2 linked regions of the Ovis aries genome follow. Each later gene encodes a partner of the first gene's protein in a complex. Links are inferred from orthologs where the notes say so. Each region holds a gene or a part of one and is shown on either strand. Other genes may lie near its edges.

Region 1 (4,305 bases):
GGCTGAGTACTGCTGGACAGGTAGCCCCTATTTGTAAGATGCTTACCACCAAATAAATGTACATAGCTGGTGCTTTGTTGCGTTGTTTGTCTAAAGAATCCCATTGAACACAGCCTGTTTCTAAATGCCACACTTCTCATCTCCCCAAAGCCAGTAATCTTGGTGATCCATTTAGTTGGAATACAGACAAAAGAAATTATATTTTGTAAATGATTATAATGGTGCATAAATGGGAGATTTTCCTTGGAAGTATGGCTGCATAGACTGAACTCCAAAAAGCAAGGGATATGTACTATTCTTCAAATATTAAAGATACTTTACCACCCAAAAATGTCAACAGAAAATATTTTACATATTTTTTTTCAAAACTAGTGAATTATTTGAAGATGAGTAAAATGTTAACTGTGCTAATTAACTTCAGTATTTTTAAGTTAGTATTTTCACTCCAATTTGTTACATATTATCAAACCATTAACTTGTTCATTTTTTTTAAAAAGGAAAAGCACTACAGAAATTTGTAAGTAGGTATTTTATCTTTTTTGCAGTTCTTCATTTTGGTTGTGGGAAACTGTATTGTTTAATCTTGTTCTCAGAGCTCTCTCTATCCATATTTATCCTTTATATAAGCTTTACTGGGAATTTTAGTTTATTTTCTACATAGTTTCTTAGGAATTTGTTTTTATCTATAAGGAAATCCAAAATTTTAAGTGCACAGGAACTCTGAAAGCTTCCTTTACAAACTGTAAAAAGTTTTGTTCCTGAATATATATTACCAAAAAAAGTAAAATTTAAGTAACCAAAGAAGCATGAAAGTGAGATAAATAGATGCTTTAACCAAGTGCACTGGAGGAAGTTTCTGGTGAGATGCTATGAAAAGTGAAAAATCTATTTTTAGTAACTGTGGTAGGATCTCTGAGAAATGGGGTGTATCCAAAGAAGAGAGTTAAAATTCGTTTTTCATGATTAGTTAAGCCTAGTTAAGTTAGTTTTTCATGCTTTATGGCCCTGCTTATTAAGTCTGAAAAAATATAAAAGACCACTCATGAACACAAAATGATAAGAATATTTTTATTGTATTATTAAATACCATCTTTTTTCCACTGTTACAAATTTGTAGATACTACATGAATGATGATACATAATTTATATTTTATAGTTTGCCGATATGATGTATTTACACATGCAGTTAGTACCAATGTCATGCTACATTTCCTTAGGAGATGCTCGTTCAAAAAAAAAAAACGTGAGCAAAATGTGAGCAGCTTATCTACTGTAGGAAAATATTTGTGGAGGGTGGAATGTATACCAACCTGCACCTGCATGTTCAGTATTAACAATATTAGATTAATTTAGACTCCTGGGTCATGTTCCCTTTTCTTTTAAAATAATACACATAATTTAAGCCACACACTTAGAAAAGTTTTCTTTTTTTCCTACCCACCCCACCTCATTCTTCCCTTTTCGGTACTTAAGAAAGAACATAGATATACCAGGGTCCAGCAGCCAATAATAAGGGGCCATAATCTCAAAACAGAAGTGGCATTTAACAGTGATACCATTTAAAAAGCAAAACATTAGAAAAATATTTGGAAGCTAAACATGAATCAGAGTCCAGCACAGTGATTTTTCTGGTTTTAGATATGTCATGGCATCACCTGCTACACAGCCGAGAAATGAGACACTGCTTTGGGAAGAAAAAGGTAATGCTAAACTTATTTCAGCTGGAACTTGAGAAGCTAAAAGACCATTTATTTTAAGTCGTTTATTTCGATAACATAAATAATCCATACACATCAAGTGTATTAACAGATCTGTAACTTTTGCCACAACGTTACAAATGTTTAAAGATGTACATTTATTAAAAAATTATATATTTACTGAGCCATAAAGTTGTAATGGGGCACGATAAAATCATGAGGCTTATCTGTCCAATTATATTTTGGCTCAAATTTAATTATGAAATTCAAAGTAAAACTACTTGGACATAATTAGTGAGGGAAGGTAAAGGGTATAGAATAAAGCTTCACCCCTTACCCCCCATATGGCAGCGTGGAGTGTGGGGGAAAAAACCAACCGAATAAACAACCCAAATCTAAAATACTAAGTTACAAATTATTTAAATCCAGTGTTTTCTAAAATAAATGTTCAGGAAGGAACATGCATATTATGGCAAACACAAAGCCTGGAAGGGTTAACGCCATGTTCATGCTAAGGTGGCTACTGGTGACCACTGCCAGGCTGCTGTCTCCTTAGGACTTATTGGCGGAGCCAGAGGAGCGACGCAGCTTCATGGACATGCGGCTTTTGCTCGTTCGAGGAGACATTGGAGAGGCCAGGTCGGCCCCGTCTACCTGCGCCGCTGTGGGAGTTTCACTGGATAGGATCTCTGGGTAGGAGCCTGTGGGAAACAGCAAGCGCATTAGTGCAAATCCTCTGGCTCTCCTCCTATAAGAGTAACTTCTCTGCTACAGATCCAAAGACCTTAGTGAGGTCTTTTGAGAGGAAAGAGCAAGCCCCAAATTTGCTTGTTACAAAAGTCTACTAGTATTTTATTTAAAACCCAGTGATCTGGGGGCTCATGTCATCATAGTAGCCAGAAAGCACCAATCATTATTTCCAGAACCAGAATCAACCAGAGAGCTCCCCAGAAGAAGCAATGGGAAGCAAGATCTTTAGGACAGAAAGGACAAGGATCCAAAGCACCATCAGCATGCACATGAGGGCTTAAGAAGCAGGTGAGAAGGACCAATTGCTATCTCTTGGGTACAGAATATAATCAACAAAAGGGCCTTCACTGCTCAAACTGGAAAATAAAACAGCACCAAGCGTTCCCAAAAGGGACTTAGTAGTATGAGACCATTAAACATGCTAGGAAGTTAAATTTAAATATGTTTTTAAGAAGGAACAGGATAAATTCTGGGGGGAGAGGAGGGTGAAGACAAGATCTCTCATCTGAAAGTCAGTTCAAAAAGAAAAAACTGCTCTCTCAAAGTGTCTCAATTTAGAAGAGATAAGTAATGCTCATTTTCTTAAACTTCTCTAGTTACCAGTAGAGTCAGTAGATTTAAATATTTGAAAGCAGCAAAAAAAATGAGTTCGAATTGGAAAATTCTTCGTATCATGTACAAAGTAGTTCTTCACTTTTGTATGTTATGTCTATGAATTATGATTCTCTAATTTACACACTTTGCACACTATAGGCACTCAAATATTTCGTTAAAACTAAAAACCCCTGAAAAAACCCGCAAATAACAAAATTTTTAACATTCTGTATATTTTGAGGCACTTTAATCCAGGTTTCCTTTGTTTTATGTACATAAAAATTATCTTTATGTGTGTCACAAACAAAGGTGCATGACACAGGCTGCAGGCTTCAATGGACACAGCTCCTTACTCTGTAGGAAACTTTTGGCACATCTGTTAGCCACTGGAACTCCTCACTGACACTCTGAGCTTGGGAATACTTATACTACTGCTTCCATATAATGAAACACTTGTGCCTAAGTTGAAGGTATGAATATTTATAAAGAAACAAAACCATTCAATAAAGGGTACAGATCCTACTGAGATGTCTTAGGAAATTAAGAATGTATCTCTATAGAACACTTCAAAATGTTTTCAAGGTCAAATAGTATACTCAAGAACAAGCATATATTGTCAAGGAAAAAATATTTTATCACTAATCCTAATTCAGGTAAATTTCCCTCTTTTTCAAAGTAACTTCTCCAACATTCTTTCTTTTCTAACTGAAATGAGGTTGGCCTTCAAAATACAAGAACGACACGTACTTCTGTTCGCCTTTAGTCTTCCCAAAGATCTGAACTGGTTCATACTGGACCCATACTGGAAATCTTAAAGAATATGAATCCACGGCCCTTTTTAGGGGAGCACTGCAGATGGATGGCAGAAGGAAGGTGAAGAGCAGTAGCTCATGCTTTTCGGGTAATGCATACTTATTTCCGGCCAGTCATGAGAGGCCTTCCCATGTCTGTTTACCTTGAGATGGCCAATGTTTTCTAGTGGAGGTTTTGGGAGGAAGAGAACTATCACTGCATTTCTTTCTTTGTTGTGAATGAAGAAATGGAGTAGCAAGCAGAAGTGAGAAAACAAAAGAGAAGACAGATAACAGATATGAGCGACATAGTGCAGAATTTTACAGGTGTTAACAGAGGAGCAGAGAAGACAGTAATCAGGTTTTTATTATGAAATACAATTGGGCATGCAATGTGTTAGGGTGATGAAGTTTCACAATGGACAAATGCTTGTACATTCAAATGTTATACTTACCCACTAACAAAACAAGTT
Region 2 (5,220 bases), on another chromosome or scaffold:
TAGCTCCCAGCTCAGGTACTCTCACACAGACATCCACTGGGATTTGAGAGCTTCAATATCATTCTCTAACAGTATAAATCTCAACATTTCCAAATTAACTCACAGAGTTACATTAAAAAAAAAAACAACAACGAAACAATCAAAAGGCTATCAATTATTTCCTTGGAATTTTATAGAGGAAGGAATTCAAATTCTAGAATCTCTTCAGATGCTGGGAATTATCCTAAAGCATCTGCTGAAATTATTTTCAGGGTTCATATCGTCAAAAGTCACATGCAATGCTTTTTCAAGCAAACTTTAACATTTAATTCTCTGAGACAACTTTAATACTCTTAAAAAATTAAATAATCAAGTAACTGTGTTTTTATGTAGCCTCCAATTCTATATTTAAAAGTAATTACTACTCAGTTAATAATAAATTAGGACAAACTAAATTGAATTTATGAAGGAAGCTTTAGGGACATTATACCTGTCGATCCTATCAGAAAGAGGGCAGTGACAACAGAAAAAGGAATGATCATTAAAGAGAGACATTCATGCGACACTAACACAAATCTGGATTTCTTAGTAAAAACTATTTTATGACATTACAAGCAGAACTCACTAACACCAGTTCAAAATACTGAAACAAACAATAACCACTTCAAACATTTATATTAGAACACATATAATAATGCAAAAATTTCTTTAGTTTAAAAACATTTTAGAAGCAAGAAAAATAAACAAATTTTCACCTATATTTAAATACAAGCATAACGAATACAATAACAATTCAAATAACTTCTTCATAAATGCAATATTTAAATGTGTTAAATAACCACACAATGACCTTATGTATCTGACAAGCTGAAGGATACTTATAGCAAACTTAAATCACTGAAACATGCCTGGACTCCCGGGCTTATAAACTCTCCAAATGATTAAAACATTAAACTCCATCTAAGAAGTTAGATTTCATTCCAATCTAGTTGGATTAATAATCTTAGATTCAATATACCATTAGTATTTATGCATAAAAACATAAAGGCACCCATAAACTCAACAAAATCCAGAAAGCAACTGGCCATGGTAAAGGACATTATTGAATAGGATGCTCTACTTGCAAATGCTTCCTTACTCTTTGTGACTGAAGAATCTAACCAGACATAGTAGGGTACACAGGCTTCAAACACAAAGGCAGACTCTCCTTTGGGTTGCCATCTAATGCATAAACCATCCTCACTACACTGCAAAAACTGAAACACTGACTGATTCTGCCATTAGACTCTGAGGCAGTGCCTAAATCCTATTTGATTCTGAATTACTAGCACCTGGTTATAGAATTCAGAAATGCTTCCTATAAATCACTTATAAAACCTAAGAAACTATCCAAAATCTAACTACTAAAAACTGTAGAGCTAAATTTAAAAGATCTGTTTTCCTTTTCATAATGTTTTAGACTAATAGCTTCTCTGTTATATTAAGTACACAAAAATTATGAACATGAAAATCTAGTTTAAAATTTCTCTGCTTGTTTTATATATCTGGGCATTGAAAGTTATTCTATAACTTAAGATTAAAAAAAAACAAACTAAACTAAACATGGCTTACCATAATCTCTCAGGAGAGCTTGAGCAGGTCTTTCACTGTCAGGAGTTGTGGGTTCTGTGCTTCCACCACTCGCTGAACTAATACCACTATTTGTGCGACTATGACTCTTGAAGTTATTTTCTCCACCACCCTAGTCAAAAAAAAAAAAAAAAAGAATCAAATATGCAAATATGGACAGAAGCCAATCACTAAAAGCCATGTAGGTAAAATGGAATGTGCCAGCTAAATAGCACAAACTGATACATAGATAAAAATTGACAAAGGATTAAAACTGTTGTGGTATTTTTTTATATAAACAGGATTAAAACTGTTGTGTTTTTACATAAACACCATTTACTAGTGGTATCAAGGGTCTGATGATTAGAGGCTGCCCATTCTGGAATCATCTTTGCTGCTGTTTAAAAGGATCAGACTATTTCCACCTTCACTAGACTTCAATAGTTAATGGTTCTGGGTCTGTAAAAAAATACCCTAGTGCCTTCCAGAAAAACTTCAGAATAGGAATACATCTTAAAAAACAAAACACAAATAAATGACTTTCCAATGTTACATAAAATACACAAACAATAAATATATGATTAGTATATATAGCATATATTAGTATAGATAGATAGATAAAGATCAACTCATATGTACAGGAGCTAATGAAGGTATCTGCTAAAGACTTCCCTCATCTCCCCTACAAACACATTTCATCTTATCCATGTAAGGTGACTGTTATTAGCCACCTACTGGGACGTGAACATAATTTCCTTAATAGTAATTTGATCACCCATCCTACATCCACTCATCTCACCCCAGCATACTCGGTTAATTCCCTGCCTACCAACTGCCTGCCTCTATTCCAGGTAGAGGCATCACACATCTTGAAGACAGAAGCAGGGAGCATTGGAGTCTCTGGAAAGTATTTCTGATTTAGAGGCACTGGTGCTTTGGGAAAACCTTCAAACTTTGGTCTAGAGGGACAGAAAGAGCAGCTGAGATCAAAAAGGATAAACTAGATGGTGTTTACAGCAAACACTACATCTACTACAGATACATGGAATCAGAGAATAAGGGAATTTTTCTAGATTATTCAAGCCAATTCACCAACACAGCAAAAGATATAAAAGCTTTAGGTAAACACTGTCCAGGAGTAAAGACACTGTTTAGCTGGAATTTCTCTCCCGAAGAATCTCTCAGGGACCTAATGAGACACTGAAAGGTAAGAAACCTCAAAACAGATAATATTTTTAAAAGGACCCACTGAATCAATGAGCTGAATCTACAAATGCCTTTAAGAACACAAGGACAGACATTTTGGAATATAATTCACATAAAAACAGAAGTTGATATTCTCTGACTAATTACATATTGTATGCTTCTTACCATCTCCATTTGGCAACCAATAGCTTCTAAAAGTGCTGAATCTTGAACAATATTTAACATTGCCCCTGAAACAACAAAAAAATACATTTAAATACATGACAAGAATATGAAAATGTACAAAATATCTCAATTAACAGCAAAGATAAGAATATGATTTTAGCAGAATATTCCTGGAAATTCCATAAGATTACTGATAAATCCATCAGTTGGTCAAAAAAGAAACTCTTCAAAAATGACCTAATTCTGATCTGCCCCCCAAATTTTAAAATGACATTTTTCTAAAATAAATCTGAATGTCAAACTTTGTTTTGTATAAAAACATGACCAATTTTTAAATTGGTGTAAAAGACTAGATGTAAACATCTCAATTTCAAGGGTAATATAAACTAAGAAAAATATTATGGAACATTTTAAAAACCAGATTCTGATCTTTTCAGTATAAAATAACAAAGTGAAAATCCACAGCTGTATCCTTCTGACCAACTAACTGCTTTTTAAGAATGCTTTTAGGGCTTGCCCACAGCTGCATATTCTGAAGGCAAGCCGCATGTATTTATCACCAAGGAACTCACAGCCCTAGAAACTAGTAAAGAAACAAGACGGTGAACTGTGCACTCCTCGTCCCAGTGGGGGAGTGCTCCCGAGCACTAGGGATAGAGAGAACAGTTAACAGTTTTGCCAAACTATGCAAGAGTGACAATTGGCTCTTCCTTGGAACATACAAGGGGAGCTTCTACAGAACAAGGATAAAGCAGAACTAAATACTCCATCAACTGTAGAAACTATCTGATTTCAACTGATATGTGTTTTAAACAATCTAAAAAACTACAACTTGGAGGCCCTCTCATATTGAGCTTTAACCTCTGTTCATTAAACTCCTTTCCAAAATGAAAGGATTTACTCTTCTATTTATTCTCCCTTCTTGCTGCATAACACACTATAATTACGGGGCACCCACTCCGACCACTACTGTCACCACAAATTCTCCGGCCTTGCTGTTTCCCCTCCTGAAATGAAATCCTAACCTCACTGGTGCCTATTCAAATCCTGCCCTTTAAGATCCAATCTAATTTCCACTTTCCCCTATGAAGTTTCCTTGCTCTTTCAGTTTATTCTCTCTCAACACTAAAGACATCCAACATGACATGCTATCAGCACTGCCTTCTGCTGTTATCTGAGTATTCTGAGAAGGTGTTTCAATCTCTGCAATGAGACTTGCTCAAGGATAAAAGCTGTGCAATTTGCTTCTTTCTCCTCAGAGTACCTATACTTAGGACCATGCCCTTAGATTTGATTAAAAACCAAAGAAGTACAGTAAGAGACAGCTGCAGTAACCAAGTTGAGAGGTGATAAGGGTTTAAAATATAGAAGTGGCGATAATGACGAAAAGTCATTCACAACAGTATGATTAGAAAACCAGTAGGAAACAATAAGGGAAAAGGGAGGAGGCAGAAACAGTTACTCCTCAGTCTCCTCTTGGCAGGTTCTGTCATGACTTCCACAATTACACCCAACTCCAAACAGCCTTGCATGTACTAACGGGCAGGAGGAAAAGGCAGAAGTAAAAGTAATGATGGCAGAGAGGAAAGGGGAGAAAAGGGGGACGCAAGGAGAGAGGAAGGGCAAGTGGGGAAGAGAAAAATAAAGAACACACAAAAAACTAATCCAACATGACCTACCAAGACAACTGATGCGTTCCTTCCCTCATCTCACCTCTTCAAACTTTTTTCAAGTTTAAGAGCAAACAATTCTGCCTCTGATTAAGAATTAAGTAGGGCTGTACTTCGCTTAGGTTCCTATCACTGACCCCCTGCCTCAAGACGCCTGAGATCAACAACAGTATCTGGGTTTCCACTTACAGAAAAAATGTGTGAACACAAACCTAGTATCATTTGAGTGTTGTTGGGGTCCGTTTCCGTTTGCAAGGCACCTATTAGTATATTCACAAGTCTCAGCTTCAGTGACAAAAAAGTTATTGGTTTATCATAAGAAGAGCTGTCATCATTACTAAACTTTCCTTCCAGGACTACCTGCGGAAGAAACAAATAACATTTAATATCACCTGCTGCGGCACACTACAGTCCTGTAGGAACTGCTACAGTGGACAAAGAGAGGATCAGTCCAACGAGCAGGGCTTTCAGTCTGACTGATGGTAGCCAACCGTGCTAAAGTCTATCACTAACTTACACAACATAGGGGATCAGACACACTAGCCTCTCCCCACGTGAAATAGTAGAACGGCTGAGTGACAGAAGAAATACC

Evidence for each region.
Region 2: RALGAPA1 (region 1) and RALGAPB share a complex: the UniProt entries of both Homo sapiens proteins name them as parts of the heterodimeric RalGAP1 complex. The link is inferred for Ovis aries from reciprocal best matches to the Homo sapiens genes RALGAPA1 and RALGAPB.

The regions. Positions count from the first base shown.
Region 1 is NC_056071.1:43,524,651-43,528,955, forward strand, and holds the end of RALGAPA1 (ral GTPase-activating protein subunit alpha-1), read right to left. Parts: exon of another isoform or gene 2,399-4,305; coding exon 2,250-2,398; 3' UTR 1,055-2,249; downstream 1-1,054. UniProt on the Homo sapiens protein: Catalytic subunit of the heterodimeric RalGAP1 complex which acts as a GTPase activator for the Ras-like small GTPases RALA and RALB.
Region 2 is NC_056066.1:67,422,158-67,427,377, reverse strand, and holds part of RALGAPB (ral GTPase-activating protein subunit beta), read right to left. Parts: intron 4,989-5,220; coding exon 4,841-4,988; intron 3,024-4,840; coding exon 2,959-3,023; intron 1,721-2,958; coding exon 1,591-1,720; intron 1-1,590. UniProt on the Homo sapiens protein: Non-catalytic subunit of the heterodimeric RalGAP1 and RalGAP2 complexes which act as GTPase activators for the Ras-like small GTPases RALA and RALB.